Oreochromis niloticus: one gene and its partners. The protein of the gene in region 3 interacts with the protein of the main gene of each other region in a biochemical or structural test. Links are inferred from orthologs where the notes say so. Each region holds a gene or a part of one and is shown on either strand. Other genes may lie near its edges.

Region 1 (7,771 bases), on a different chromosome or scaffold from region 3:
ATACTTATATACTTGTCACTGCTGTAATTACGTGTGGCCTGCTACAAAGCACTTGAACGTTTGCTTGTAGTAAAGCAAAAAATATGATTGATATCAAGGACAGAAAAGTGAATGCTCGCATGAATCTGAATACACATTTTCTTCTTCTTTAAAGGTGCTTAACCATTACTTAACCAAGTGTTTGGTCATTTTTATGAAAGCCAATTACTTAAAATTCACTATGTAAAGGTTTTCTTTACAATCCATAACAGAAAATCGAATACCTTTTACAGTTTTTCCCACAGAACTAAACGGGATTTACGATGAGAGCAGGTTGATGCATATGATTGTGTCTATATATCTAAATAATAGGAATACACAACGTTTGTGACCATTATTCATATTCAGCTGTCTACCCAGTTAGGACATCATACAGCAGACAATTCGACTATCCAGATCAACAGTAAGCGACAGTATTCCTCATTCTGCTCTGTGGTGTTCAGCATAACAGCATATAAACCACACCTCCACCTGCCACAGATTCTGGAGAAGCTCACAGAGGACTTCCAGAATAGACGAAGGCTACTGTTGCTAGATGCAGTCCACAGTGGTGGTGTTGAGTCTGTCCAATCACAGGACGAAAGACTCTCTGGGGAAGCAGCTCAGTGACATTGAGGGTTGCTGCAAAGATCACATCAGCCTGCTGGTGCAGAAACTGCTTAGCAGCAACTGCAGTCTCAGAATTATAGCAACTGGATTGGCCATGGATAAGAAAATAAAGACTGGCTTTGAAATTTAAAAAAAAAAAAAAAAAAAAAAAAAAAAAAAATTGCTAAAAGGAGTCCCAAATTATTCTTAGACAGGCATTAGTATACAAAAGTAACCTACAGAAGTAAATTCATTTCTGGGAAACACCATTTTGGAGTAAACAAGTAATTTAAATGCAGGAACATTGGGTTTACTTGGAGCCCTATTTTAATAAGATTTAAAACCTTTTGTTTTAAAAAAGCCCACAGAAACAATGTCAGATAATCTGATTACAAAAACATCACACCATCCAAACTGAAATGAGTATGCTCAACAAAATCTAGACATTGCAGCAATACTGGGAGACATTTCAAATGCACCCAGCCCATCTATTACTAATCACCGAGTATTTGTGACCCATCACCAGATAACTGGTTTCGTATACATCCAGTTTTGGTTATGAGTCAGAACTAAAAGCCTTCAGTACAGCTTATGATGCCCCTCTGATAATATGGTCACACCAACAAAAAAGCCAGACATTTTCAAATGGTTGCAGATGAAAAGTGAATGAAAGGAGATGGATAGTTGGATACATTGAGGGCTAACATCTGGAAGCTTTTAGGGCCAGATCCCTCCAATTTCCTGCAATGAAGTTAACTTCTAAACATGAAGCCAGCATACTATAGTCAATTCTTGCAGGCACAGTACTGTTACACTCTACAGATCACGCACAAAGAGAAAACAAGCACCATTATGTCACTGCTCCTGTCAGTCCAGATGATTAAGTTATACTGACATGCACTGCACATCTACATTGGGTTCAATCATTAGCAGAAGTTGCTTTCCATGAGATGATCTGGCATGAATGCTTGTTCACCACTGACTCAGAGAGATATAATCTCTCTGCTTATAATCTGTTTTCAAGAAATTATCATCTACATCGACTCCTCTGTCTGTCAGAATCCCTCATTTAGCACTGCTAAGAAAATCATCCCCTGCTGCTAGCCAACACATAACAATGGAGTAGGGGCAAAAACACTTTTACACAACAGCTCAGCAGCCCACATGCATATAAGCTACCACAGAATACAGAATTAACAAGTGTCTCTCTGGATAAAGTTGAACCACAGCTAGTATCGAAAAGATTCTTATTAAATATAGTACTGCTGACAAAATGTGTGTTCTTTATGATCAAAAGGCCAGCTGAACAAACTATATGCACTCGTTCATGGAATAAGAAAACACACGGAGTAGTAGAGCTAAAAGTTTGGTTTAGGTTTTGAACTCCTACAAGTATGTTTTAATGGGAATACTACTGAAGCCTGTGGCTTGTGTAAACATCGCCATTTAGCAATATGCGCCAGAAAACAACACAGAGCTGCAGTCTTCAGCTCAGAAACCCTTAAGCCAAATCCCATTTAAATATTTTGAATTTTTCTTAGAAGTAAAGACAAACCCAATTTTTAGAAATCAGAGGCAAGATTTTACTTCCTCGTGGATCAGGCAGCTGTTGGAACACTTTCGGCTACACTCAATCGTCAATCTAAACTTTATTTTTAAGGAAATGTCAACTTTTGCTGAGCATTTGCCCCTGAAGCTATCGCCCTCCACAGCGTATTTTGAACAGAGCTTTTGTAAAGGACCAGAGACTATAATAGGTTGAAAGACAGTAGAAACAACTTGCCAAGTATTTTATTTGGTGCATTCCAAAGAAATGCACCAAATAAAATTGATGCTGTGACATTAGTAAGACAGCACTTAATTACTATAATATTAGCTAGTTAGACTAAGATGGATAGTAAGATAGGTCTGACATTCTCTTCCATACTGGAGCCATCGAAGCACAAACAGCCCACTAGCAATAACTTTCTTACCACTCAATCACCCAAACCTTCAAAATGCAGTGTACAAAAAAGCTCGATCATAGCTGTATCCACATCAATTACAAATTAATCTAAAAAGAGCCGTGAAGGAAAGACGGCTGCTGAATAAAAAGGTGTGCCTGTTGTTAACGACAGTGAGGACCAGTCCTGCTCACTCCAGAACCGGGCAACGCTAACACGTAAAGCGGGCCTTTCTTGTCAAAAATGAAACCTAAATAAGTATTAGGGGCTAACACTGGGCAAAACAAGAATACATAAATAAAAGTTGGTTGTGAACTCACCCTCTAAAAGCCTGGAAATCAGCGAGTCGACGTCCAACTCCCCCTCCGCCATTTCTGTAACGAACAGCTCTGCCCGCCGCAGTCTGAAGCAGGCAGAGCAGACACCGCCTCAACGAACAGAAACCGCCTCCCTTTCGCGGCCTCCCATTTAGGGCAATTACGCCTCATTCAACTACGCCTCGGATATTTTAGTTTCTAGAGAAGAAAGGAGAACAGTGGACAGTTTTTTTTAATTTGAAAACATAGTAATCATATTCATAAGTTTCACGTACTTTTTTTCCTCCTCATTTTCTAATTCAAGCCTCAAATTCAGCTAATGCTATATAAAGTATGGCTCAACCATAAACATCGTGATATAAGGGTACAAAAATGTATTTGTATTAGAAAATAAGGGTAACCAAACAAACAGATGCTCAATTACATATTCACTGCATTTTCTTGCTTTTTACCTGTGATTTTCGATTGCGTTGAATGCGTCAGCTTATCCAGGGCTTCTTACAGCAACAATCATAATAATAACGATGCAAAAATTACCATTAGATATACTCTATTTATAATGAAACATCGTTTACCCTAAGAAAATCTGGATAAGTTTTCATTTTCACCACATTCTATCAAAGGACAGGTGTCCTAAAGGCCCTGATTTATTCACCTCGAGCGCCCCCTTCTGGTCAGGATATGTCAACACTTTAAGAGTAATGGTTTTGATATATAAATATTGTTTACTGATTCTGAGAGCAAAATTAGTCCTTTATTCACGTTACTTTGTCTTCAACTGGACTAAAACAACATGGTGAAATAATCGTTGATTAAAAAAAGAAAGAAAAAAAGAGTTTGAAGCCCTATCACTATTATCACACTGTATTAAGTAGACACTGATTTCTAGTGCAACCAGCAGACCAGAAACTTGTAACGTAAGACCGTGTGTGAAGGACAGGCCAGAAAAACACAGCAGCTGGTAAACTTGAGATCTGTATGTTGTGTCTGTTTACAGAGAGAAGAGGCCGAGAACCGACAGACAGGAAAAAAAGTGAGTTGGATCTTAATCTTAAGGCTCTTCCAGGTTATGACTCAAGCCAAGAGTTATGTTATTGCCTCTCCCACTCACTTATTTTTCAGTTTCTTTCAAGTGCGTCACTGGGTATTTCCGCACTGTTTTGAGTGGGTGGTGGCAAGTTGCACTGCAGAGAGAAGGCAGAGGTCTGCAACTGGATCAAGCTAGCCACAGCGCCGGAAACGACGCAATTTTCCCTCTTCAAAATAAGAGCATGTAGTTTCTTATGAGCAATTGCTTGTCCCTTGCAAAGAGACCAAAGTCTTAAAATAAGTAACGCACAATTGGCATACACTACTCCTATTACACCACAGTTCTGCTATACTAATGTGATTATAGTAATTATTATTATGGCACAACAAAAGCGTGAAAACCATGAAAACAAACTATTGATAATTTTGGACTTGGTAAAGGCAGTAATGTATGCTTTAAAAATAAAAAATAAACCAAGCTATTGTTCTCTTCACAGCTATTTCCGTTATCTTGGAAATTACCCCCCGAAAAAAAAAATCTGCCATGTTTTGATTTTGTGAGTTCACTACAAATTTGATTCATTTATTTAACATTTAGTGATAAAGCTAATAGCTGCCTACGTAGTAAATAAAAGGTGTTATCCAATTTCAGATTCTGCATTTCTAATAAACGTGGCACAAAAACAATGCCTACTATGTGAGAAAAAGACATCGCAATGAAGAGAACAAAGCACGTACTGTGCAGTTGCTGCAACTTGGCGACAGGTGTGTTGCACAAAAAATAAACAGAAAGTTGCAACACATCGCTCCCCAAATAGATGTTACTTACCGGAAACCCCGTGAGCATGAACGTAACTATCCCTGCGGCTTTACTAACTGTACACTCTCATACACAGACGTAGGTGGAGCGAAGGAGGCGACAGAGCGGCTCTGTCAAGAACTTCGTGGAGTCTGTAGTGCCGTGTTTCCTGCTCTTTTTTGGCTTTAAACAAGATACAAATTATTGAGAAACAGCGGGGGATATCGAGGAGCGTGAGCTGGACTTGGACACAGCTATGGACCGTAAGTGAAGCTGCTTTTATTTACTCATCTCAGACACGGGAGGTGAAACTGTACAGGGAGTTGTTTTGCGCACAAGGGAAAGCCCCGCTATCATTGGGTTTTGCGCCAACAGGAGGAGTCTGTTCCCGGATACTAAACTAACGTACAGACAGAAGTTTGACTTAACTTTGGTTTATCGCATACATGTGAGATAGCCGAGAGAAACTTGATGTTTAACTGAATGAATTTCTCAGCGTGTGGACAACTCAACTGGCACGAGCGGAGCGAACCAAACGGTCTCGCGCTGCCAAGAGGCCCGTGGGGTTTGTCCACTTGAGAGATTTCCTTCTAGCCACTGAAACTTCGTTCGGAAGTCTCGCCATTTAATGTTTTTCTGTTTGTAAGTGGAAATGCTCTTTGTGAATCACGCTCTCAAAAGCTTATCAGTCACAGTGAATAGTGTATTTTAAATTCGGCCTGGTTAAAACCACCGTATAACGTTCTTTTCAATAAAAAAGTCTCGTATTTAATTGGGCGACGCTGCTAGCAACCGCCCACACCGGCTTTAATTGACAAAAACGGTTCCGATAGGAAATTGTGGTAATAAGCTCTGTGTTCAGGAGAACACGTGTATGCAGATACTGTGAAGATTTCACAGCCGCCCCCGTTTCTATTTTATTCCATATATACCTTTCCCTTTAGGCTAAACCATAAACAAACGACATTTTATAATGGAGTTCTGTTGACTTCCTATGTTTAGAGTGCAGCCATACTTTATGCAAATGTTATAACCCTTAAAATAGATTATGTTTGTTGATAAGTGTCACTTATCTCTGTCTTGGATGTGGATATTGGCACGACAAACAGCCATCATCTGACTGAGCATCATAAAAAGTATGTCCCTTTGTTCGGTCAGTAAAAATGAAAGTGATTCTAGCAACAGTGTCGAAGACCTCAGGTGTGATGCTCTTAATTCAGTCATTAATGATCTTTCGATCATTGTGGGTATGTGCTTTCACTTTCACATCATCCAGACTCAGTAAGTAGAAAAGACTGTCTTTCACATAAGTGGTCAAAATGCAGTCATTACAGACTTATGTCATCCATTTTTTAAAAATGTTTGTTTGTTATTTTTAGTCTTGACTTTGGGGCTTTAGGCAGCCTCTTCATTCAATATTATTCTGGCATTTTAGGTATGATCAGAACCTAAAAAGCAAGAATAATGTCTTTGGGCTGAAGCTAGAAAGCAAACATGTTACAGCATGGAAAGGACTCTACTCAAGCTTTTGAACTGAACCAGTCCTGCCTGCTGATGGGTGGAGCTTTGATCAACTCATCCAGTGTCACACCTTACTTATTGCCTGAAACTGGAGTGCTCCCTGCACTAAAGGCTTCCAGCAACAAAGCTGGTAACCTGACACCAATATTAAAAGCCCTGCCTGTCATTGTTTGCCTTTTTCTGCACTTCGTCTCCTTCTCGGTAGCTTTGCAGGCAAGTGGTTTATGACAACCAGAGATTATATTTAGCTGGGAGGCCCTTGTATCTCGGCGTCCTTCGACCCCGTTGGACGCTGCACTCTCTTGTAGAATTCCACCCTGACCTCACCACAAATGACAAACTCTGACTAAACCACAAATATGCAACAAATCTGTTTTCTATTATTTTTGTCATCTCCACCACCACTGTGTGCTTCCTCGTGTAAGTCGTAGATGGAAAACCTGCAGTTTTTCTCAATAAGTTGGTTAAATTCCGTTCTTGTTTCTGTTCATCACAGCTGGATATGGATGGAGCCTTACCCCGCTCAACCAGGGTAAGCGCACTTTCCTTTTTAAAAAGAATTACTGATGTTCTCTGCAGTGATTTCATGAGTAAACATTTCTACCCTCGGGTGTAGTGACGATCGATGAGGCTGTATCTGTGTTGACACACGTAAAGCAGTATTTCACAATGAGCACACAATGCCTTTGCTTTCCTCAACAGCTCCCTACATAGAGATTATCGAGCAGCCAAAGCAAAGGGGGATGAGATTTAGGTACAAGTGTGAGGGACGGTCTGCTGGCAGCATTCCCGGAGAAAAAAGTAATGACACCACTAAGACCCACCCAGCAATCAAGGTGTGTTGGTTCATTCGATTCATTAAATATCATTTACGTTACAGATAATATACACATTGGTGAAGATTTAGGTGCATGCAGCCACAGCAACTGTTTCCATAGTGACTCATGTATGTCAACTGTACATTTATAGTGGAGAAGGTCAGTGCTGAAAAAATGCTTTCTCCAGCTGAAACATCTGTTTTTCTTGTTGAATGTTAGGAACACAGACTGTATATGTGTGATGGATGTAGCAAGCCCAATTAAAGGGAGCTAAAATATTTTTTTACACCAGCTGCTAGATTTAAAAGGACAAATACATTTGAATTTCAATAAAACAACACTTCTTACATCTCTTTTCATACAAGAAATCCAATATTGTTCATAAAATACTATCCTTTTTCTAGGATAAGGATAATCAGACATTAGAAGTTTAGTTAAATCACAACAGAATGTACAGGTGTGCATAAGAAGCAGCTGCTTATAGGTGGTTGTTGGTAGAAATTCTCTGCTTTCCCTCATTTCATGTAAAAAAAATATATAATATATATATTTTGTTGATCATTTCAATTGAAAACGTAATTTCCAGAAGAAAACATTTTTCCTACAATATCGGCAAAATTAATTCTGGACTATGAAAGAATGGAGTGATGTTATCAGCTAACGCTAACAAGCTTGGTTTGCAAGTTGCATCTGTTAGTACAAATTCATAAACCCAAA
Region 2 (7,975 bases), on a different chromosome or scaffold from region 3:
TTTAGATCGAGCAAGTGCTGACATTTACACTGGGGATGTCTGGACCAGAGCCAGGTGCTCTGAGGCTTCACTGCATCACACAGATGGCACCATTCATACAGCTGACAGCTGGCTGCTTATAAAAGGCCGACCTTCCACCGCGAAAAGCAGATCAGAAACCTCGGGCAGAGTGATCGACCATCATGAGATCACTTCAGTGCTTCAATCACTCGGGACAAGTCGCAGTCGTCTCGCTTTTCTCTATTCTCCCTTTTTGGTCTGTTAGAAACATCTTAAGAAGCCTCCTCATCGATCTTCGGTGCCAGGTAGTATTTGATGTGCCCCATGTCAGCAATCTTGTACTCCACCACTGTAGGGAGAAAAACAAAACAAACAGTAAGTCTGGGCCACGACACACCAAACGAAGAATCCTGCAGTCATTTAAGGGAAGAGCAGATGCACGTACCCAGGGGGATATCAGCGGACATGCTGAGGGTGACGGTCTTGGAGAGCGGCGTGGCCTTGGTGAAGAAGTTCAGGTAGTTGAGGGCAAAGATCAGCTGGACGGGTTCATTCATCTCAATCGTAACCTAAACACAGGAAGGAAGAGCCAAGAACTTAACAGGTGCTGCCACAACAGCAAGTCTGCCACGCTCACTCAGATCACCAGCTCATACAGTAAATAAGGAGCTCTAAAGTAAAGGCCTTAATTGCTGTCTCAGCACTAAGATGTCAACAAATATTTAAGAATACTCGATTTATTAAAAAAAAAGAAAAGAAAAAAAGAAGTTTGTCTTAAAACTGCTGGTAACTAATTAATGCCTTTGAAAAAACAGTCATTAGTTAATGACACTGAAACATCTGCAGCTTTCAGCCTCCACCTGTACTCCGTACAAACAGCCAAAGTCACTTCTTGGTATCTATCAGAAACCTGAACTGATCCGGTCATAAGTCAGTATTTCTTTTTTATTGCATTTTTGCTGGCAAACAGCTTGTGAGTGCATTACTGCCACCTTCTGGCAGTAATAGCACATTACATCAGGTGCCAGTTAAAACGGAGTACAAAACACATATTCAAACTATCAGATTTTAATTATTGCACATGTAAATTTTATGCAATCGTCTTGATCATGTCTGCCAACACATGCCGAGCTCTCATACTCACAGCCTCGTCCTCTTTGTCCACATTGCTGGTCTGGGACAGCTTGATGTTTCCTGTGCCCAGCTCGCCTGAGGCGGAGAACTTGACTCCATCCTTGGCGCAGGAGATCATGACGGCGTCGCCGATCTGTGAAAGGTCACGGCAGATGCGAGCGAACTCCCCGGAGGGCATCTTCACCACACAGCTGTACTCCTGCTCCTGGAGGGACAGACAGACATGGAAAGGTTAGTAAGCGTGTGAGGAAAACCCTGCCGTACAAAAATGGAGGACGTAACAGCTGACTTACCGGAATACCAAGCTGCTCCACATCCAGGTCCATCAGCTTCATCTCATAATCTGACACCTTCTCCTGGTCTGCAAGATTGAAGAGAAGCAGTAAATACACCACTGTGACACCGCCAGTCAGGCTGATGTTACTGAATAAACATAGAATTCAAACTTACTGAGAGTCTCAAAGACGAGAGCGAGCGTGTCTGCATTGTCTTCTGCTCTGAGGGTGATGATGTCTTCATTTCCGGCACACTTCAAGATTTTTGACATACTGGATAAGAGAGGTAAAACATAAGTCAGAAAACTTTATTCTCACATTATAAAATACAACAAAACTAAATTAATAAATAACTAATAAAAACACGTAATTCACACAATAAATCAAATCCTTTCTGCAAAAGATAGTTAAAAATTTCAACAAGTAGTCAGTAGTTAAAAATATTATTCAGTCTGTTCTCGTTTTAAAAGGACCTGCAGCGACAACAGGCTAAACAATAAGACCGTTTAAAATAAATATTATTAACACTCTAATTTGCTGATTTAAAAAGAAGCGTTGTAAACAGCTAAACATCCATCACAAATGACTCAAGCTAAACAGGCAGTGACGTAGGAACGGAAGTGGTATTTCCCGGGTTCAACAATGATTCCCGCCAACCCTCCCGGCTCACAGTTTGGCGCTAAAACGCTGTCACCGCGCAATCACAAATCAGCGGAACTCTCTCAAACCGCTCCAAACGTAATTTAAACTTTAAACGGTGAATGTGAAGCCGAACTACTTTCTTTGCCCCATTAAACACATCTAATATACAAAGCGCGCCGTTTCAGAGCGGTCACTAAAGAGTTAACTAAGTTCAGGAGGCAGACATGCCCGGGCAACTCCGCCAAGATGGCCTTGTTCTTTGTCAGCATCAGAAGCTGCATGAAGATGTAATAAAGCGCGCTTAAAAGAGGCTAAAAGCGATCGTAAGACTCAAAAATAGTAACCGCGTCACAAACCAAGCAGCCATTTTTTTCGTGTTATTACACTCGATAAACTTTGACAACTCAACCTGTCAACCTGGGGACATTAGTCAGCAGAAACTCCTCTTAGCTAAGCCCCATCAAGAACCAGCAACGGGCTGGCATCAAACGGTGTTAAGACAGTATTTTCTACCTATAAACAATTTTTTTTTAAATGTTTGGTATGTGTACTCCACCTGCTCAGGTTGACTCCCATGGCGAGGTTCCTATCGCAGCGGTACGAGTCGAAGCCATCGTGCCGCAGGGTGAGCTGCACCAGGGAGACGTGAGAGGAGTCCATGCTCTGCAGGGAGATGCCGGACGAGCTGACGTCCCAGCAGGCTTCTGTGATCAGATCCTTCAGAGCCTCCAGCACCTTCTTCAGGATGGAGCCCTGGACCAGGCGAGCCTCGAACATGGTTGCTGTGGAGTTTTATGTCTGCGCAGATGAAAAGATGAGAAAGGCTTCTCTGAGAGCTCAGGTTTTTCTGTTGCTGGCGAGCACAGACACGGCACGTGAATACCACTCTCACGGCACGGCGGAGTTTAAGCTGAAAGCGCGCGCTAACCGCTGGTTTTAATGATTCGGGGGCACGATTGCGTCATTTCCGTTTCCTTGTCGACGCCACAACCGCTTAAAAGACTAGACGATTATTTCAGCCATGTTGGAGAGGACAATTTTGTAAGCTGGACAAATCATACAGAATATTGTACAACACTGTACAGCAGGGGTGTCAAACATAGGGCACGGGGGACCAGAATCGGCCGAGCAAAAACTCAAATTTGGCCCATTGGACAATTTTGGAAAATGTGGGCATCACGTTTTGTAATTTTTTTCAGAAGTTTTACAGGCTTTTACTACTGATAAAGACCTTTCCCATAGCCATTCACACAACACCAAAGTAATTAAGAAATACATAAATAAATGTCATAAAAGTTCTTGTTCAACTAAAGAAAAAGCAAACAAAATAACTTTGTTTTATATATACAGGACAATCTGGGCAATGAGCTACACATTTATTTCCTAAAATCTAAGTCCAAAGTGTAGCAGTTATTTTACTACAAAACAAAACTGAGACACACTGTTGTGATTTAACTTCTTTTTCTTATATTATAGTATCAGACAGATTAAATCTGTAATTGGACTTCTTTCCAGTGACAAAGTATTGAATTTAAATCAAAGTGGGAGTTAATCTTCACATCCTTAAAGTACTTGCTCTGTAAACCACAAAATGTATTTGTCATATAAAATGACCACTGTAATATGAATGTTTTGCATGCTAAATGTTTAAATTAACTGTAGCTATCACCTAAATATTCAAAATTTTACAAAGCTTAATAGTTGGGTAAATGTATTTAGTCTTTTTAAAAATATATTTACTACAAGTGCAACAATTTTGAACATTAGTTAGGATTTTCCTGTTAAAAAAAAAAAAAATCAGTCACTTTCTTTTTTATTTTAAACTTGGTCCAAAGGCAATAAAAATGGGGCTTCCTCCTTGTAAGAAAACAAGTTATGTGGAGAGAACACAAAGACCTCAAAAACCTTTTTATTAATGAAGTACTTGGTTTGACAAGCACATGGTGTCACAAATTACACAAATCACGTCCCAAGTCTGTTGCACACATACAGGCACACATAGAAAAGGATGTTACGTTTGCACGGCCATTTAACCCCTGAGAATGTACTGGTTCAGGCCACTTGACAGGCTGGTTTGACACTCGATTCAGATATGAAGCAGCGAACAGTCTTACAGAAAAGCAGTCTGAGGTATTCATTCATGTCAAACAGGACAGATTATTTTTAATTTTTTAAGTGCTGTAGCAGGTGTTTCTTTTGTAATTGGATGGAAAGAAATTTGTGCAGGGTTTAAGTGCAGAGACTAAATTTCTCCGTTTAGAGATCAGAGAGTATGTAGTTGGTTGCCATGGTGATGATTGGGGCTCCTGTTGGTACACCTGGGAAAGGACCGCTGGACCCGGCGATGTCAACGTGGGAGTACGGCAGAGGGGCTTCAGAATCCACACCGTGCTGCGGTGGGCACACATAAGGTAACAACACAGGTTATTCCACACGAGTGCACACATTTCACATGAATAGCAGATGAATAAAATGTGCGAGCACCTTGTCGAGTCCTGAAGCCATGATGAGGAAAGCTGCAGGTGTCTGATGTCCTCTAGGTGTAGCAGAGGACGGCAGGTTGTTGCACTGCAGGATGTCCTCATACTCAGACTGGCCCTTGTGGAACTCATAGTCCTCGCGCCTGATAGTAGACACCTCAAACAAATCGCCCAGCACCTCTCCGGCTGAAAGGGAGAGGGCCACGTATTAGTGTAAATCAAAGGCAGAGTTCTGCCAACTGAAGGCAACATTGTGTTAGTGTAGGAGAAGGTAGGGTCATTTCACAGGATGAAAGTCACAGCGAACAGAATCAGTGGCATCTTGCAGAAACCCCTCAGCTAACATCAGTGGTTCCAGCTATGAGATCAGCAGTTTTATAGTGGTGTGGGCTGAATGCATGAAACAGGAACAAGATAGGACCCTGCACTGGTGGAAAGAGGTTTATGAAGCAATGTGCTTTTACTTCTTTTCAAGTATTTGCAATTCTTACAATAGCAGCATCTGCTGGGAAAACTGTAGTACTGCAATTTTATGAAAGCCTAAACTACAAAACTGTGCTAGGCCAACAGGAGTGGTCTCACTGATTATGTCATTATAATTTGCTCCAATAATAGTTACACCAAAAAAAACCTGTTAAAAGCTGTTGAAAACATAGACTGTAAAGAGGTCACATGATTCAATTCATATATAAATATGCTTTGAAAGGCTGCCCTGTTTTAGACAGTCTGTGTAAAGATCTGGGGAGATTTTTCTAATGATTAGACCCTAAATCAGGTCCTATAAAGTCTACAGTCTGCACTAAAGTTATGTCTTAACAGAGTTTGATGCGAACATAATTCATTTTTTTTTAAAACATATTAAAATCAAATTAATCAAAGTATCTGAGTAAATGTGCAGCAATCAAGCAGTCCATTCATCAAATAATGGTTTTAGCTGCAATTTAAATTAACAGAACAGAGTACTTCATAGCATCATCTGTACAGTTAAAATAACTAAAGGACTGGTTATTCGGCGTTAGTGATGGTAAATTTGATTCTTTTTACTGAATCGAGTTTTAATGAGTCACTCACCAAAGTGAATCAGGTTTTTTGAGTCATTTGAGTCACTGAGTCAGTTGACCAGAGTGCAAAAAATGTACATTTTCACTCAAACTTAATTTGTTTCTCTTTTAATGTAAATCCTACTGCTAAGATGAGTGATTCTTAAAGAAAACAACTATTTTATATAGCAAAAAAGAGCAAAAGAATTTCTAAAGGGAACATTTATTTTGTTTATTTTTATTTTATTAGTATTTTCCTTACATGTGTCAAATATATATTTTCTCATCTAAATGTCCACTGAGCTGTGAGCCAGGGGGCGGTAGTGCGCCTTAACATTGGTTGCCAACCAAGAAGAAGAAGAAGTAGCTGCGAGCCAGGAGGGAGGGGGTGAGTGAGTGAGTGAGTGAGTGATTCGTTCGCTCTATGATTCAGCACAGGAGGGAGGGGGTTAGCGAGTCATGAGTGATTCGCTCGCTCTATGATTCAGCACAGGAGGGAGGGGGTGAGCGAGTCATGAGTGATTCGCGCGCTTTATGATTCAGCACAGGAGGGAGGGGGTGAGCGAGTCATGAGTGATTCGTGCGCTTTATGATTCAGCACAGGAGGGAGGGGGTTAGTGAGTCCTGAGTGATTTGCTTACACTACGATTCAGCACAGGAGGGAGGGGGTTAGTGAGTCCTGAGTGATTTGCTTCCCCTACGATTCAGCGCAGGAAGGGAGGGGGTGAGTAGCTCAAATGTGCTGTTAGCATGTTAGCAGAGCGATACTACTGTGAACCGAGGAGCTATTGTCTTGATGTGAGCTTCTACTCAGGGTTTTTTCTTCCAGTTCAGAGCAGAAATGTTTTTGTTAAGATACTGGATGTTGTGTTTTTCTTCACAATTTGATTTATAAGCTAGATATATTTCTACTAATGAAATTAGTTTGCTAACAGCAACAGGGATGAGTCAGTGAGTCAGTTGCGCTTGTGAATCATGATTCACGAGTCAGTAAAGTGATTCTCGAGTATTGAACGATTCGTTCATGATTCGCGCATCACTATTCGGCGTTTCCTCTGTCAGTGAAGTTGTCTTGGCTGTTTTGGTTTGTACACCTGGCAAAACAGGTGAACTAACTCAACTGTGAATAAAAGGATTCAGCTCCAGCTGAAAGAGCTGCAGAGGCCTTAGGTAAGGAGATCTATAATTGTAAATATTTCTCACCTTTCTGCCACTGAGCAGCGTTCCCGCTGCGATGGGCCGGCCCGTTATCCATGATGATCTACAACAAGAAGTTCCAAACTTAACTTAGTACAATAATACAACAATGATGATTAAAACACTGGAATGTCTGGACACTCAAAGTAGTCCTACTGTGCTCTTATTTTTTTTCCTATCATAAAGGAGGGGTCACAGATTCTTTGTTTCATTTAGTTCAGAATTCAGACTGTTACCCTTTATGTACCACAACAACAAATTCAGGTCAGATTTCTAAATGCCAAATTGATTACAAAGAGATTATGAGTAAAATCCATGCTTTTGTCAATATGCATCACCTGACTAGTTTAGAAAATCTTAAAAACAAACTGGGAAACTGATTTGGGAGAATCTACTCCAGACTCAACTGGGCAAACTGTAGTCCAGTTTAAACTTGTACATAGTGGTCATTGGTCTGCTGATCATCGTGTGACCGATGCAGAGGATCCTGACCACTGTTGTATGTTTTGGTTTGTTTTCTAAAATATGTGGACAAACAGCACATCCATCTCCATTAATTTCACTGTTTGGGTTGGCTCCATTAGATATCTCTCTAAGGGAACATGACTGCCTTCTTATTTCTCTTGGCTTAGAGGGCTCATTCTCTCTCCATGGAAGGATTTTCTGTCCCCATCATTTAGCCAACTGTTGTCAAGTGCTTCCTCACAGAGGGTTGTTTTTCTTCTCTCTTATTTACCTCATAATATAAAGCATGTTGAGGCGACTGCTTTTGTGATTTGGCACTGTATAAATAAACCTGAATTGAATTAAATTAGATCAGATACAACACTAGAGGAATTTTATGTTACCTGGCAACCATTAATATAATTTGTTAAAAGCAGCTGTCATTACTAACACAGAACAGTATTGGTGTACTGAATGCATGTGACAGAATGACAAGATATTTTTATACATGACTGAGTAAATATGTTAATAATGTCTGACTATATTCATATCCTTGATCTGGTTTTCTAGGGGTAGGGTGGGTTAGGTTTGAGAAATGTGTTCAGACTGTTTTTTGTTTTGTATTGATAAAAAAATTGAGTTACAATAGTGCATGCTCATTTTAAACATTGCCAAAGTGGCTAGTGTATGTATAAGAAACCCTGTAAGCCAAAAGCTCCATCTTCAGATTACTCGAAACAATCTGTTTTATTATTTATTTATT
Region 3 (7,731 bases):
TACTTCATCAGGACCGTGCGCGGTAAGATGGCCAACGATGGGACAGATGGCCGCCTGGCAGGGCAGACAGGAGGACGCATGACGCTGGCAGAGGTGGTGTTCAGTCTCGTCCAGGCCAGACACAAGGAGAAGATGAGAGAAGGCAACAGGAGGTTCAATCGGACTCCCTCCAGACTGCAGCGCTGAGGGGACTGTCAGGGTCAAATGGCTGCACGTAGGCCAGGACACACTGGAGCCATATTCCTTTAATGCTTTGCCATAACTGAATTAGCTTCACAGACAAAATACTGAGCTACCTGTGGCAGGAGCCCAATCCTGTTTAAGCCTTGTTTCTTCCAAGACTGCATCATACCCATCTTTTTTGGCATCTCAAGAAAATTTTGGACAAGTTAATAGGAATTTATGGGAAATCATCCATGCTCATATTTCTATTTCTTGACTTCTGGACCAAAACATTCATCTTGCATGACACACCGAGTGGTATGTGGTCTGAACTTTAGTTGGTTAGGAGCTAACTGAGCTATCTAATCAAAGTTCTGGCCTCTTACGTTTCACAAGTATGTTGTAAGCAGTGCAAAGTGCTTTTTCATCACTATTATTGCCATATCTATACACTATAAGCACTGATTTGAAGGTTGTTTTGTAAAAAGAAAAAGAAAGAAAGAAAAAATCAACATGTCTTTATGTTTGCTGGGATAACACATCAGCAAGACTCCAGACCTCCAAGCAAAACACTACCTCTTAGTACAAATTCTCCTAGACTACAAATGGCCAATATAGAATGATGTTTGTTTGTTTGTTTGTTTGTTTGTTTGTTTGTTTGTTTGTTTGTTTGTTTGTATTATCTTAATTAGTACATTTATGTTGTGAAGTCAAGCATTATTTCTTCTTTATATCCAATAATTTCAAATATGTTAAAGAGATTTTGGTCACTATAATTCACTCATGCAACATAATCCAAAAAGAAAAAAATCCCTTTATTTATAAAGTGATTGCTGCTCGGTTTACTTTTGTAAATACTGTATTTGCATAGTTTCCACTGAGCCAGTATTTCTTGTTTTCTATCTTGTCAGAGTCAGTGTTGTTCTGGATTTATGAGATTCAGAAGATGAACACTGAAACAGTTTTAATGCCAAAAACACCTTACATATCACTGTATTCCTCTTACTGTCATGGTAAAAAGGAAAGCACAACCTCTGTCAGTACTAAGGTTCTTTGTGTTAGGACCTAAAAAAAATCATTTCATCCTTACAAGATCTTAAATGCATTGAAATACAACCTCAGATGAATAACACCACATGTAGAAGCAATGTGTGAAAGACTAGGTACACTAAGTCCACCTCCATAGCTTGTAGAACCACATTTAGCAGCAATAACTTGATGTAAATGTTTTCTGTAAAACTTTATCTATGTGAAGGTCCTCAGTCATCCAGGTCATGGTAATCCAAGGGGCTTGGAAAGAAAAGCGAGTGGACTCCTTTAAGTTTCACCTCTCATCCGTGAAGCTTCTTCATTTCTACGATCAACTGGTGGAGAGTCCCATATTTAGGCCCTAATAAACTGGCCAGCCAGCCTTTGTAATATTGTTTGCAGGCAATCATTTATGCACAGCTCTCTTTCAGTATTTCAGTCAGTTAAGGTCTGGTCTTTGACCAGGCCATTGCAACACCTTGATTCTGTTCTTTTTCAACCATTCTGTTGTAGATTTGTTTCTGTGCTTGGGATCATTTTCCTGTTCAATGACTCAATTACAATTTTTCCCATGTGACTCTAGAATACTTAGGAATACATAGGAATGACTGCAAGGTCCTGTTGCTGCAAAACAAGCCCAAAGTATTACAATTCCACCACCGTGCTTGAGAGCTAGTATGAGGTGCATGTGCTGATATGCTATGTTTTCACCAAATATGATGCTGTGCATTGTAGCAAAAGATATTATAATAGTGAGATATATAATATAATAGTGAGAATAAGCTTTCTCACTATAGAATGATGGACATCAAATTGTTTGGAAGTTTCTTTATAAACCTTCCCAGACTGATAGGCAGCCTTTGCTTTACTCCTTGTCATTGTGTTAACACACAACTGAATGCAGCAGACCATCAAACTGCCAAAAGTTCTACTTCTATATAGGTGCTCATACTCACTGACAATCAATTAATCAAGTGCATTTAATTAGCAAGACCTGTCTGCTACTTACTCTGTTAATTCCTATGGAAACAGTAAGAGTGCACTTAGTTTTTCACACTCTGCTTCTGCACTTTGGCTTAGTTTTTGTGGACGACACAGTGTAATATGTCATATGTTGATGTTATTTTGTTGTTCAACTGAAGTTTCGGTCCTAACTAAGAACCAGAGTGATTATGTCCAGATATGTAAAATGGTGTACTTTCTTTTTTCTTTTCTTTTTTCTATTTACCTTGATCATTTATTAAAATCAAACAAATCGTGATGTAGGAATGTTTTACATTGCAGGTCTGATTCAAACTGACACAAATTCACGTCAGTCTTTATTTTGTTTGTCTTTTAACTTCAAATATTAATGTTAAGCTCCTCTATGGGACTTTGTGCAGTTTTTAAATAGATAACAAAGACATGTTTAATTATTGCTACAGTATAGAAATGTTCACAGCGAATAGTACGTCTGTATCAGCAAAACTTTTTACTTCATTTTTTTAATATAATTTTTACAAAAACATTCAAACCAGTCCAGTTTCTACTAATAAAATCAATTATTACCATAAAGCTGGGTGCTTTTAATTTTTTAACTCTGTATTATTAATTATTAATGACACGATACTCTTATTAAACTCTTTTTTTGAAGGTGTATTCTTCTTGGAGGTGTGTCTTCCTTTCTTGAGAGTCACGACGATTGCTCTTGACTCCATTAGTTCTGTCTGCAGCCAGCGCGGGTCTTCTGCAGCCGGCTCACTGATGCTCTATTTTGAAAGATGGTTCACCCGGAAGGTTTACAGAAAGCTCGAAAAGAATAAACATAATCTCTACAGAAGTTAGCTCATCTACAGTAGTGTCTAATACTCCTTTCCTAGACATAAACAAAGGTTTCCTGACAAACACTGTAGACTGTAATCACATACTGGTTTATTTTCCATTACATTTTTCAATTAAAGTTCTGTAATAATTACAATTACAATTACAATTACAATCTTTATTTATAAAGCACTTTTCATACAAACTGTAGCACAAAGTGCTTTACATGGTTAAAAGCAGCCCACCCCACCCTCCCACTCATTCCCCGCACTGTCATTAACAGAAGCGGTCATGATACACACATCCCCCCCCCACACACACACACACATACACACACACACACCTAAAGAGTAAAATTGGGCTGGGTACGTATTAGCCAAGTGAGGAAACACTATCACAGGGAGCTGTCTGCACCGGGAGCCGGTCACAGACCGTAGCCTCCAGGCTGGGCACACAGCAGGAGGGAGGCAAAGAAGCCCCCCAGCCAGGTTCAGAGGACCCACAGGGCCCCAGCAGCCACGGTCGATCACAGCCCCGGTGCAGAGAACCCCCCTCCGAGGAAACACTGGAGATATGACCTAATAAGAATATAAACAGGATAAAAAGATAAAATAAATAAGAGTGGGATATAATATAAATATAAGTATAAACAGAGTAAGAAGATAAAAAATGAATAAGAATACAATCAATAGGTATTAGGTAAAACTAAATGAATAATATAAATAGAATAACAGGATAGAATAAATAAGCATTAAATAAATAAGCGTTAGTTAAAAGCTAAATTAAAATATCATCTCTCTGAATGCTGTTTCACTGTTGTCACAGGACAGAAATATATTTATTTTCCTATTTTTGTCTAAAATTAATCAAATATAAATATATGGTCTATAAAAAGCCTTTATAAAAGCCTTAAGCATAACAGTAATATAATCATATAATCATAATAATCATATAATAAACATAATAATACAATATATTAATCATAATAATGTTAATAGTCACAGTGTTTTTCATGTATCTGTTGGATTTTGTATAGTACTGAAGAGAATTTATGTGTTTCTTAAGTCAAGATGCAAATCTAAGCAGAGCTGTAAAGGTTTTGTTGTTGTTGTTGTTTTGTTGTTGCTGTTGTCTTTATTTTTACACAATTCAGTTGCATATTTTAGTAATTTAATGTTTAAGGTATGTGTTAATGGATTTTGTGTAATTTTGATAAAGTTTTGAATTATTTTCCTTTAGATCTTAATTCAGTTCTGGTCTTTAGTGTAGGTAGGTACTTTATTAATGCCAAAAGGGACATTACTGTAGGATAAAGGATTTAAAAAATGCATGGAAACAATGAAAACATCATTGTACCACAGTACACAGGTGCGGTACCACAGGTCCGGAGTAAAGGCCTTAATGTGACACAGGGCAAACATTTTGTATGCATACACAGTGATAAAAAAAGAAATGATATAGCCTCTTTATTACGGATATTATCTGCAGCACATGTAGCACACTATGCATCACAGGCTCTACTCCAGAGGCTAAACTCCAAATTTCCATGTCTTTAAATCCTTAAAATCTCACTTTAAGACATATGGATATTCAGCATACATGTCACCTTCACTCGCTCATATCTCACTCAGGAAGAATGAGATTGAGATTGCGAGTTTAGAGCTGTAGTTTTCCCAGATGAGAGAGCCGCTGGTGCGGTGGGAAACAGAGACAGAGTGAGAACTCTCCACGTGACTCTTCTCTCTGCAGGCACGCGGGCTTCTCTCCGCCAGTGCGTTGATTGTTGCGGTTCCTCGTCACCCGAAGAAAGTTGTTCGGCTCGTGGTGAATTTGCGTAGTTCTGTTTTAGTATTAAGAAATAAATCAACTATGGCAGACTCACAAGAGGACAAGCTGTACAGGGTGGAATACGCCAAAAGTGGCCGCGCGTCGTGCAAAAAATGCAAAGAAAACATAGCTAAAGACTCGCTGAGGATGGCTATCATGGTGCAGGTAAGGTGGCGACGTGTGGAGGCAAAGCTGCTCCGTTAACTAGCTTGCTATCTGGGTGCTGCTATCTGCGTAAAGCATGCGGGCTGTTGTACGGGTGTAGTGGATGGGTAGGAGCAGACTGGAGAGTAGGAAAATATAGCTTATGGTGTGGTTTGAGTTGCGCCGAATCAGGCCCTCGTTAGCATTTAAATGGCTGACATTGTCTGTGCACTCCTGTCCATCACAAAGAGCCGCGGAGCCTTTTTGTCTCTGTCTGGCTATTATGCATCTTGCAGTTCATGAGCTAATTTAATTTATGCTTGAAGGCTGCAGATATTCAGAGTTTGTCTATCCCAGAAGACAAATAATAGGAAAAAAATCACAGCACACAGAAGCAGAAATACCACTGCGTGGAAACTGCTGCTGCCCCACAGAGAGGTAATCACTTAAAGAGTCGGAGAGCTGCTTATGTGGCTGCCTGTTTACTCATGGTTGATGGAACAGCTCCAGATTCTCAGGTCACTCAACTTTTCTCTCTAAAGACCTGTCACATTCAGTCTGTGTAATTCATACAAATCAGCAGAGTGTAAAGTACTTTTTGAGCACTTAATGCACCTTTTTTTTAAGAATGTAGGGGTCACACAGGGCTCTATTCTTGAGCCACTTTAGTTTACACCTTGTATAAAGTATGCCTTAGTAAAAGATTTTTTTTTTTAATCTTTGTATATGAACCTTAAAAAATGTGCTATGTCCTAAATATACAATATTTATTCAATTTTCATAGCTATACATGCTTTCTTTTTTGTTACCTGCCCAGGGACTGTCATTGCTAGAAAACAGCATGTTTACATCTTATTTTTTTTAATACTGATGTCCATAAAAAATGTCTCAAAGCCATGGGCTGTTTGTCAAAATTTTGCACAACCTGGATTTAACTTAAGAGTTAGTTCCAAAGTATCTTTGTGTCATGCAATAAATGGATTGAATGCCCTACACATAACATGGCATTGGTAAAGAAAAGAGATGATTAAATAAGTCTGGCAGGAAAATATTACCCTTCTCAGGCATCATATAACCATCGAGCTGGAAGAAGCAATTAGAGACACTTTACACTGTAAAATAAAACATCTGTGTTTGTTTTTTGTTCTCCAGTCTCCCATGTTTGATGGGAAGGTCCCCCACTGGCACCACTTCTCCTGCTTCTGGCAGCGAGCATCAGCTCAGTCCACCGCTGATATCGCTGGGTTTTCTGATCTCCGCTGGGATGACCAACAGAAGGTGAAAAAGGCCATTGAAAGCGGTGGCGCCGCAGGAGGTCAGTACTTAAGTTTTATTAGGCTGTGACCCCTCGTGGAAATGGTTGGTCGACTTAATTAATGTTATCTTAAGCTTCCTTTAGTTATTATAGGCAATCGAAGGAGTAACAGTGTTACTAAGCAGCAGTTAAACATTGCCTCATCAAAGAATCAATCAGTGCAGCAGCAAAGAAAAATCATAAAGTAATTTCATTCTTTAGTGTAAATGCCCTTATCCTGAGAGGATAACATAATTACCTGCTCAGTCACAAGAATTTATAGCAGTTGACTTTGGAAAGAAAATCAAACCCTGTATTATATATTTTAAATGGTTTCCTGATGACTAGACTATAGGTGAAGCTTTGGTAGGCTTATTTAGAGCTGAACACTGAGTCTGTCAGTCATTTGAATGAAAACAACTGACAGCCATTTCAATTGTAGTTGGTCTGACATAACTCAGATTTAACCTATACATATATCTATACATCTGTAGACTCATCATGATATATGTTTTATTACATATAACTGAACCAGCTATAAAAAGATATAAATGTTCAATTTTTGATCTTGTAGGGAAAGGTGACCAGAAGGGTGGCGCTAAAGGCGAGAAGACGCTGAATGACTTTGCTGTGGAATATGCCAAGTCAAACCGCAGCACATGCAAAGGCTGTGAGCAGAAAATAGAAAAGGTTTGGGACCGCTTTTATTGTCTGAAAACTGCTGTTTAAATGTAATTATTTAATTATCTGGTGGCTTAACTTTGTCATTTTCCCATAAATATTTGATCCATTTGAACCACCAGGATCAGATTCGTGTGTCCAAGAAAACTGTGGACCCCGAGAAGCCACAGCTGGGTCTTATTGACCGCTGGTACCACACGGCGTGTTTCGTGAGCCGCAGGGAGGAGCTGGTTTTCAAGCCCGAGTACAGCGCCGCTCAGCTGAAGGGATTCAATGCACTGCGGGCAGAGGACAAAGAAGAGCTCAAGAAGAGGCTCCCTGCTGTCAAATCTGAGGGGTGAGCCAAAATGATTTATTCGGTTTGAAGCCTGGGATTAAAGTTATGATCAGGTCTAGCGTTGATCCCCACTGTTGGTCTCATTTAAAGCCTCTCTGTCCACCACTGTCCTGCAGCACATAAAAATAGCTTTAAATGTGTCCCTGAAAGCCGTCATGGTGTAGGCATAAAGGAAAGGGTTGACAGCAGAGTTTGCGTGTGACAGGATGATGGCTGTGAGCAGAAGCTCAAGAGGTACATAGCAGCGTGGACAGAGAAGCAGGAAGCAGTTGATTATGTGAAGTGGGATCCAGCAGACCGTAAAGAGGAAAAGAACCAGAAAGAGAGAAGTAGCCGTCTTCATCTCTCGTCGCATGCTGGCCGCGGTCCTGATTTGTCCGTCACCTCTGCCGCTTTGCTCAGATGTGATGCGCCGCACTTGCCGCTTAACCGTGACAAAGATTTGGGCGTAGATGAG
Region 4 (7,586 bases), on a different chromosome or scaffold from region 3:
TAGGATGTTTTGTCCACATCTGTTAGTTGGTTTGGCTGGATCACTTGTGGTTTACAAAGCGCCTAAAAATGGATTGCTAGAATGAGCTAGAGAGCGCGCTGAAGGGGAAGACAGATGAGCTATAGGAGAAAAAGGGGGTGAGGGGGCAGGAGGACATGGGGTGGGGGAGGGGTGAGCATGCCAAAGTGGGCCAAGACCCCCAACCCCCACCCTCCAAGGGTCAATAGGATTCTGTCTACCCAAACTCTGCTGCAGAGTTCACAAGCAAGCAGACGTCTCTGAAGAGGGCGTCTGATGTGGAAGTGTTTGTCTCTTCCAAGATTCAATTAGTGCTGAAATTCAAGCTGGCTCCAAGTTTGTTTTGTGCTCTCCTTCTAGTCATTCCGGCTTCTGGGGATCATCAGATACACTTACGCTCCACGTTTATGCGATGTGATGACACTGAAATATGGATGTTTAATTCCTTAAAATCCACAAAACAAATGAAGGAAACAAATTAGATTTGCTGAGATGATAGTTTTGTAGAAAGATGAATTCTTATTACAGCTTTGCACTGACTATTTATTTATTTATCCAGGGAATCCCTGAATGCATGCAAATAAAATAAAATAAAATAAACCAAATAGATAGATAAAGTTTTATTAATGCCTGGAAATACTAGTTTTTAATGAATAAACTCATTGCAGAAATTGTTGCATGGTCTTTTTTTCAGATGTACGTCATAACGTAGTTAATTAATAGAAAATGTTGTGCAAAGTCTTAAGTGCCCCTCATTTTTTATATCTTTGGGGAAAATATTAAACACGTGCAGCACTTCATTTAAACATGCAAACGTAAATGGGAATACATCAGAATTTATTAGGCAAAAACAGAGTTTGTATGAGTGCGAGAGTCAATATTTGGTATGACCACTTTTATCATTCAATGGAGCCTGACAAGCCTTTTTGTAATTTCTTTAAGCAGTCTTCAGCCATAGTTCTCTCAGCTTCCTGAAGGACATTCAAAGCTCTTCTTTGGATGTTGCCTGCCTTTTGTTCTGTTCTCTGTCAAGATGATCCCAGACTGCTTCAGTAATTCAGGCCTCTGGGGAGATCAGTCCATGACTGATAGGCTTCAGCTGGATGTTTTTCTAGTCAGGTATGCTTTTACTGCATTGACAGTGTGTTTGGGATCAATGTCATGCTGAAAAAGGAAGCTCTATTAGATGGTGGATGAAAGATATAATGGCATTTTTCTACATTTATAATTCTACCAATTTTGACAAGATGTAAAACACCACAGGTTTAAGTGCAGCGCAAACCATGACAGAGCCTCTACCATGTTTTACCGATGGCTGTAAGCAGTCACTGTACATCTCTCCTGTCCTCCTCTGTAAATATTGATGATTATTTGAATCAGACTTTTCAAACTTAGGTTCATCACTCCATGAGATCTGTTACTACTAATTTTTAGGCTGGTTGATTCCCATTTCCCTTCCTTAAGAATAACCTCTTGACAGCCTTTCTGCAGGATTTTTTTTCTTATTTCTTATGGAAATTACTTTTGGATACTGTTCATCTGCTGTAGACAGTTTTGTAGACCCGGTACTTCTTTTATCCTCTACTTGTGCAGTTTCCTCAATTTCTTTGAGGTTTATGTTGCGATACGTCAGGTGTTTATCTAGTAGCACCTTGTTGGTGTAAAAATGCTATTTCAGGTATTTTTAACAATGTTATTTTTAGCATTTGCAACAGGATGCTAGTAATAAAGTGTCTCAAGATACAATTTAAAATTGGTTATTTGCTAAGTTGTCTGTTATCTTTAGAAACATCACTAGTTCATCCCTTGAGTTAGATGATGTTTTTATTTAATGATTTATAGGTGAGCGTTAAGTGGCTTAACAAACAGATTTCCTCTGAATAGATAGATAGATAGATAGACAGATAGATAGATAGATAGATAGATAGATAGATAGATAGATAGATAGATAGATAGATAGATAGATAGATAGATAGATAGATAGATAGATATCAGTTTATGTTTATTAAGGGTTTATGTTTATGTTTAAAAGGGTTTAAATTATCATGATATATATTGGGTCAGAGAAGGTGCGCCAAAGACATACAGGATACCTGGCAGGTTGATGCTATCACACCCAAAAGCCTTTTTAATTTGTCTTTACAGGCAAAAGTAAAACCAAAGTTGCAAAGGCGCACATGTTTTGGTTTTTTGTTTTGTTAGGTTTTTTTCCCCCCAGTTTTAAAATCCAACTATTTTGCATCTCAGCTAAATGTAAAGCAATCATTTGCTTTTCACCATTACTAATCAGTCACAATATCCACTCCCTAAATTGGTCTCCAGGTGGTGCCAGTGGTGAGAGTGACAGCATTCTTCACACACACACACACACGCACACGCGCGCAGAGAGAGAGAGAGAGAGAGAGAGTGAGAGAGTGTGTGTGTGTGTGTGTGTGTGTGTGTGAGAGAGAGAGAGAGAGAGAGAGAGAGAGAGAGAGAGAGAGAGAACCTATTTCCCTGTCTCCATCCACATACTGAAGGGTGGGTATGCCAGAGATTTGTGGGGGATGGGCCTGAAGTAGATACGAAGGAAGTGAATAGACTGAGAAATTGAGAGGGAAGGGGGTGGCATGCAAGGCAAGCACATGCTGAGCAGAACATTGGACTCATTGAGAAAAGCGCTCTCCATTCATGCTCTATCCAGTGCCCTATTCACCAAACTCCCGCTCTCCTCGTCATATATGTACAGTGTATTGACATGCATGTGCTCTCCGCTGATAACAAAGCCTTTGGAGTCATTTGATATGTGTGTTTGCTGTAAGTTATTTGAGATCCGCTGTGACCTAACAAACAGAGAGGTAGAATACACACAGAAGAAGGCGAAAGGTCCCCTTACAAGCACTTTCATGTCCCACTGCAATCTCAGAAATCTGTTTTCAATTGGATAGTAGCAGACCCATCAACTCCACATGGGTAGCTCATTTACAGGAGAACCCCTTGTGTGAAAGTGGGCTACCTTTGCATACTACCTACTGGAAGCCTAGGTTGTTTTTATCCGCATTCTCACACCCATGCAATCAACATCAGACGTTTGTCCATTTCACGGGAGCAACATCAAAGGTCGACATATTTAACTATAAGAATAAAAGAGCCAGCAGTAGCAGTAGGGGTGTTTTATGGCTCTTGCATGCGCTTACTCAAGGAACTCCTCTATGGTGGCATATTGTCAGGATGGGATAACTGAGTTGTCTTGTACTCAGATTAACGTTTGCTGAAATACAGCGACAGCTACTGCCTGTTCTCAACAGGTACAACGCAACGCTGCAGTGATATCATAGGAAAAATGAGTGAATAACATAAAAGCAATATTTTGTGCTTTTTTTTTAATGTGGCTAATATTTTTTTTATCATTAAGATAAAGCCATCAGTGAAATATTAAAAATAATATCCAAATGTTGGAATTTTTTTAGAAAAAATAAAATACAAATAAATCCCAAATGCTTAATAAAATTAAAAATCGTTTTTAGTGGGGTGTTTTTGTCATGGTAAACAGCACAAAACACAACCCTATACTATATTATTAACCATTAAACATTTAAGATGAAGGAAAAATTAAGACTACTTTTTTTTAAAATTTTAAAATATGGAAATTAGCTAATAAAAAACTCAGCTCAACAAAGTAAAAACAGATAACAAGGTGAAATAGCTTGGAAAGACTAAAGAATGGACTCAGTTAAAAAGAAAATATAAAAAGATAAAGAGATCAATAAATTAAAATTTAAATATGATACAACAAAGAGCTTGTGGGTGTAGATTTTCTGTATCTATGGTAAGTGGTGTAGATGGTGGTTGGGATCAATTCATTTAAAAAAGATATTCTAACAACAAATAGGTGATTTATGTAAAATGTCGTCTCAACAGATAGAAGCATTTCTGAAACATAAGAAACTGCACCAGGATCACAGCATCACACCCATGTTTTACAGTGTTATTTGCACAGAGGTTTATGCAGGTGAACTATTTACATGTATTACACTGATATTACAAACCTTAAACACATAGAAGATCAGTGTAGTACTGTACCTAAGATCTAAAACCAGAACTGAATTATTTTATGTAATATTCTGCAATACAGAGACAATTTTGTACATTTTCTTCCACTATATTATGATGATATTCATTTTGTTGTTAAACAAACGCATTACTGTGTTATTCATTTAGTAAATATTTAACTTTTCATTTTAATGCATTACTGGAGTCGTGTTTTACCTGCGTAAAGGATGTAAATCATTCCCGAGCTCAAAGGCAGCTTATGTTTACATTGGAGAAGGTCATAGTTCATTCACCATTTTACTGTGGAGACTGTGGTATGTGTTGGTTAAGTTAATGTAGTATGGGACAATATAAATACAGTAAGTAGTCATTCTTTCCTTGGTTCCTAAAAGTATATCCCGCCACTTAAAAACATGTTTTTATATTTTGTGATTGAACCTGGAGAATTAAAGGGATCCGTAAGTGGGTGGCGGGGGGGGGTTGGCCTGCTAGTAGTACTGTTGGTGGCCCACTTATATCTCCGCCCTCCAATGTTCCAGCTCCCATGAGGGCGGCTCTTTAAATTGCCCCAAAACTCCTCCTGGCTGGCGCCTTTTTCCTTTATCTGTAGGAGACAAGACGAGCACGTGCGCTATTTATAGGACGTCGTTGGAGTAAACTTTTCATCCTGCTGGTAATTTGTATTATTTTATTATTTAAAAATAAATCATTAAAAAATGTGTATATATATATTGACCCGCTCTTATTTTAATTCATAACTGTTTTTAAAGCGGCATGAGCTGGGATTTTAAAGGGGCGGGCTGTGTGTTGTCTGACGAATAAAAGCTGTAGCCTATAGATCAGAGCGAGGCTTTTTAACCGGGTACAACCAGCTAGGCTTAAAGGAAACATTTCGTCTTAAATATAGAGCAGAGGTTGCTACCGAGCGATAAAGGTGAGTGCACAAGAAAAAGACGTCGAAAGGCAAGCTAAAGTTTGCAAGCTACAACCGCCTAAATGCATTTTTACAGAGAGGGATCTCCGGCGAGAGGACGCTGCATGCTTTAGATGTGAAGCCGTCTTTTGTTGCTCCGGCCCGGGCTCTCGTTCCCGCAAATGAGCTCTGCTTGCATTTTCTATAGCACTCAAAAAATGGGTGCCGCCATGCAGGCTAGGGCTTTACCCTGCAAATCCAGACGAGCACACACTAGCCATTGTGTGTATGTGCATGTGTGTGTCGGCGGCGGCGGCGGCGGAGGAGGAGGGGGGGGGATATCTCTTCGTCGCCCCGGCGTGCAGACATGCTGCGAGTCTCATGCGCAGGCCCGATTGTTGGCTACAACAACTACAGCAAACGGGCCTCTAAACATGGTCGTGGAGGCAGGGGAGCGCCGGGTTCAGTAGTATTTTGCAGGTTTGCTCGGCCTCCGAACGCTTACTGAGTCCCGGCTGTACCCTGCAAGCCGGTTTGATCCCAATCCAGTGTTTGTGTGGCAGCGTCGGCTATGTAATGGAGCACGGTTGTGACAGAAATAGACCTGGAAATAAGCGCGGATTAATTGAGTTAAACGCGTTACCGGTGTGTGGGTAGGCCGGTCCCCCCCCTTTTTTTTTGTTTGCTGTTGCGGTCACTGAGTTTAATAGCCCGTGTATTTTTCTGTGTGTGAACTCGACGCCTCCCCTTGCTGCAAGAGTGACCGGTGTGATTTATGTCTTTAGGTCTGAAAAGCTACGCAAACATGAGCGACAAGGGGACAGTCTCACCGAAAGAGAAGGAAGCCACAGAGAAGAGAGGGCGTGGAAGACCCCGTAAGCAGCCGCAGGTAAAAACCTCTGACGTAAGTAGTCCCATTCTGTTCTTCTATTTATTGGAGAAAGTGTGCTGTTTTATTATTATTATCATTATCATTATTATTATTATTATTATTATTATTATTATTATTATTATTATTATTATTATTATTATTATTGCATCCCAGAAATTACAGTAAGGATGTATTTAATATTATTAAAAAGATGGGAGCAGATTTTTTTTTTTTTTTTTTAAACCCTTTAACTCAGGTCTGCTGCAGCTGATGCTCAGGTAGATATTATTGCAGCTGAGCTTCTCATGCATATCCCTCAATGAAATTAAGACTCCTGAAATGGCTGCAGCATGCCCTTGTGACCATTTGCCCCTTCCTTATCACTGTAAGGGAAGAACAACAAACTTGCCACATGTCTCACTGGTTTGTAAGCAACCTGTAACCTAAAGCCTTTAAACCAGATTTAACCCCCACGACCCACCTCTGCTCTCCATGTAATGGATGACATAGCAGAGTCGAAGCGCACAGTGGCTCATATACCTGTCACTCAGCCAGCTGTGTTTTTACTATTGAATTGCTCGGTTGCTATGAGCTGCGGTTGTAAACACAGCAGAAATGCAACAGGAGGCGCGTCAGCCATGACGAAGCTTACAACCACACATGAATACGATAACTCACCTCGAGCTGAATGTACCTTGCTTTTTTGCATGTGACGGTAATCCCCTAAGTGCTTACTGTTGCATATTTCCCTTAATGACACATCTGTTATTTGTGAACTTGTATCTGCTGGACCATGGCAACCTTTTTAGCATTTAATGCACATAAGTTGCAATGTCTTTACCTGAGAGAGCTTTTTGTTTTTTGTATGTCTATAATTTGATTTGAAAACCTTGATCAATATACCTTGATCAATATAAACCAGATTTTTAAGAGCTTATGTTGATAAAATATTGTCCAGATGTTGTATACTACCCTAACTTTGTATTGATTGTGATTGCCAGGAACCAAGTGGGTCCCCTACTCCAAAGAGGCCCAGAGGACGGCCGAAGGGCAGCAAAAACAAGACAACCGGCAAGGGCAAAGTAAGTCAATGCAGTCTGCAGACGTGTTTTCACATAGTGACAGTGAGTTCAGCAGCAACGAGCGCACATCCTGATCCGGAATAGCTGCAATTCCAAGATGGGCAGTCGGCGTGGCATTTGTTGTAAATTTGTTTCTTGCAAGTGCTTTGTCTTTTTCTCCAAACCCCTGATTCCTTTTGGTTGATGAACATTTTAACGGTAGCTAACCTCATCCTTGTAAAAGGATGTCCTGCTGTTACTTGAGATATATTTGTTGGCTGTAATCTGGCTGCTTCCCCCTTGTGGTGTCAGAAATAGCTTGGCTAGGGTTTCCCATTGTAAAGACCTTGGTTTACTGCCTCACACTTTTTCTTTTTTTTTTTTGTTGGTGATGCTCACCCTCTACTTCCTGTCCTCCAGCTTCCTGCAGCTTGTCATGCAAAGTGTGGTGCAGGTGCAGAGGCCGCAAGACTGTTTCCAAGCTGACACTAAGCACCCCTCCGCCCCCACCCAGCACACAGCCCTAGTTCTTCTCTGCCTGTCGTTACCATAGCAACAACTGATTTTTCTCCCCCGCCCCAACCCTCCGGCTCTCCCTGCGCTCGGTCTTCACTGCTATGTATGGGAAAGGCAGAGGGAGAGGAAGTCGCGCATACATGTTTTGATATAGGTTTAGCAGCGAGGGCCGAGC

What was found.
Region 1: the proteins of parp1 (region 3) and rela form a complex in vitro, tested with the Homo sapiens proteins (2 studies listed by BioGRID). The link is inferred for Oreochromis niloticus from reciprocal best matches to the Homo sapiens genes PARP1 and RELA.
Region 2: the proteins of parp1 (region 3) and pcna form a complex in vitro, tested with the Homo sapiens proteins (3 studies listed by BioGRID). The link is inferred for Oreochromis niloticus from reciprocal best matches to the Homo sapiens genes PARP1 and PCNA.
Region 4: the proteins of parp1 (region 3) and hmga1a form a complex in vitro, tested with the Homo sapiens proteins (2 studies listed by BioGRID, with this or other methods). The link is inferred for Oreochromis niloticus from reciprocal best matches to the Homo sapiens genes PARP1 and HMGA1.

Annotation. Positions count from the first base shown.
Region 1 is NC_031967.2:4,864,932-4,872,702, forward strand, and holds the start of rela (transcription factor p65), read left to right. Parts: upstream 1-4,769; 5' UTR 4,770-4,971; coding exon 4,972-4,978; intron 4,979-6,732; coding exon 6,733-6,768; intron 6,769-6,938; coding exon 6,939-7,072; intron 7,073-7,771. Other genes in the region: serine/threonine-protein phosphatase PP1-beta catalytic subunit, read right to left, coding at 2,891-2,942. UniProt on the Homo sapiens protein: NF-kappa-B is a pleiotropic transcription factor present in almost all cell types and is the endpoint of a series of signal transduction events that are initiated by a vast array of stimuli related to many biological processes such as inflammation, immunity, differentiation, cell growth, tumorigenesis and apoptosis.
Region 2 is NC_031977.2:25,564,687-25,572,661, reverse strand, and holds the start of pcna (proliferating cell nuclear antigen), read right to left. Parts: upstream 3,001-7,975; 5' UTR 2,829-3,000; coding exon 2,608-2,828; intron 1,683-2,607; coding exon 1,585-1,682; intron 1,496-1,584; coding exon 1,428-1,495; intron 1,340-1,427; coding exon 1,145-1,339; intron 570-1,144; coding exon 446-569; intron 350-445; coding exon 273-349; 3' UTR 1-272. Other genes in the region: zgc:152830 (putative aminopeptidase W07G4.4), read right to left, coding at 4,308-4,442, 4,536-4,717, 6,775-6,832. UniProt on the Homo sapiens protein: Auxiliary protein of DNA polymerase delta and epsilon, is involved in the control of eukaryotic DNA replication by increasing the polymerase's processibility during elongation of the leading strand.
Region 3 is NC_031980.2:10,088,292-10,096,022, forward strand, and holds the start of parp1 (poly [ADP-ribose] polymerase 1), read left to right. Parts: upstream 1-4,717; 5' UTR 4,718-4,860; coding exon 4,861-4,983; intron 4,984-6,114; coding exon 6,115-6,277; intron 6,278-6,830; coding exon 6,831-6,946; intron 6,947-7,059; coding exon 7,060-7,274; intron 7,275-7,280; exon of another isoform or gene 7,281-7,329; coding exon of another isoform or gene 7,330-7,731. Other genes in the region: si:dkey-206f10.1 (adenylate cyclase type 8), read left to right, coding at 1-186; adenosine receptor A1, read right to left, coding at 7,330-7,731. UniProt on the Homo sapiens protein: Poly-ADP-ribosyltransferase that mediates poly-ADP-ribosylation of proteins and plays a key role in DNA repair.
Region 4 is NC_031984.2:12,115,780-12,123,365, forward strand, and holds the start of hmga1a (high mobility group AT-hook 1a), read left to right. Parts: upstream 1-4,570; 5' UTR 4,571-4,723; intron 4,724-4,814; exon of another isoform or gene 4,815-4,984; intron 4,985-5,048; exon of another isoform or gene 5,049-5,443; intron 5,444-5,748; 5' UTR 5,749-5,768; coding exon 5,769-5,867; intron 5,868-6,835; coding exon 6,836-6,916; intron 6,917-7,586. UniProt on the Homo sapiens protein: HMG-I/Y bind preferentially to the minor groove of A+T rich regions in double-stranded DNA. It is suggested that these proteins could function in nucleosome phasing and in the 3'-end processing of mRNA transcripts.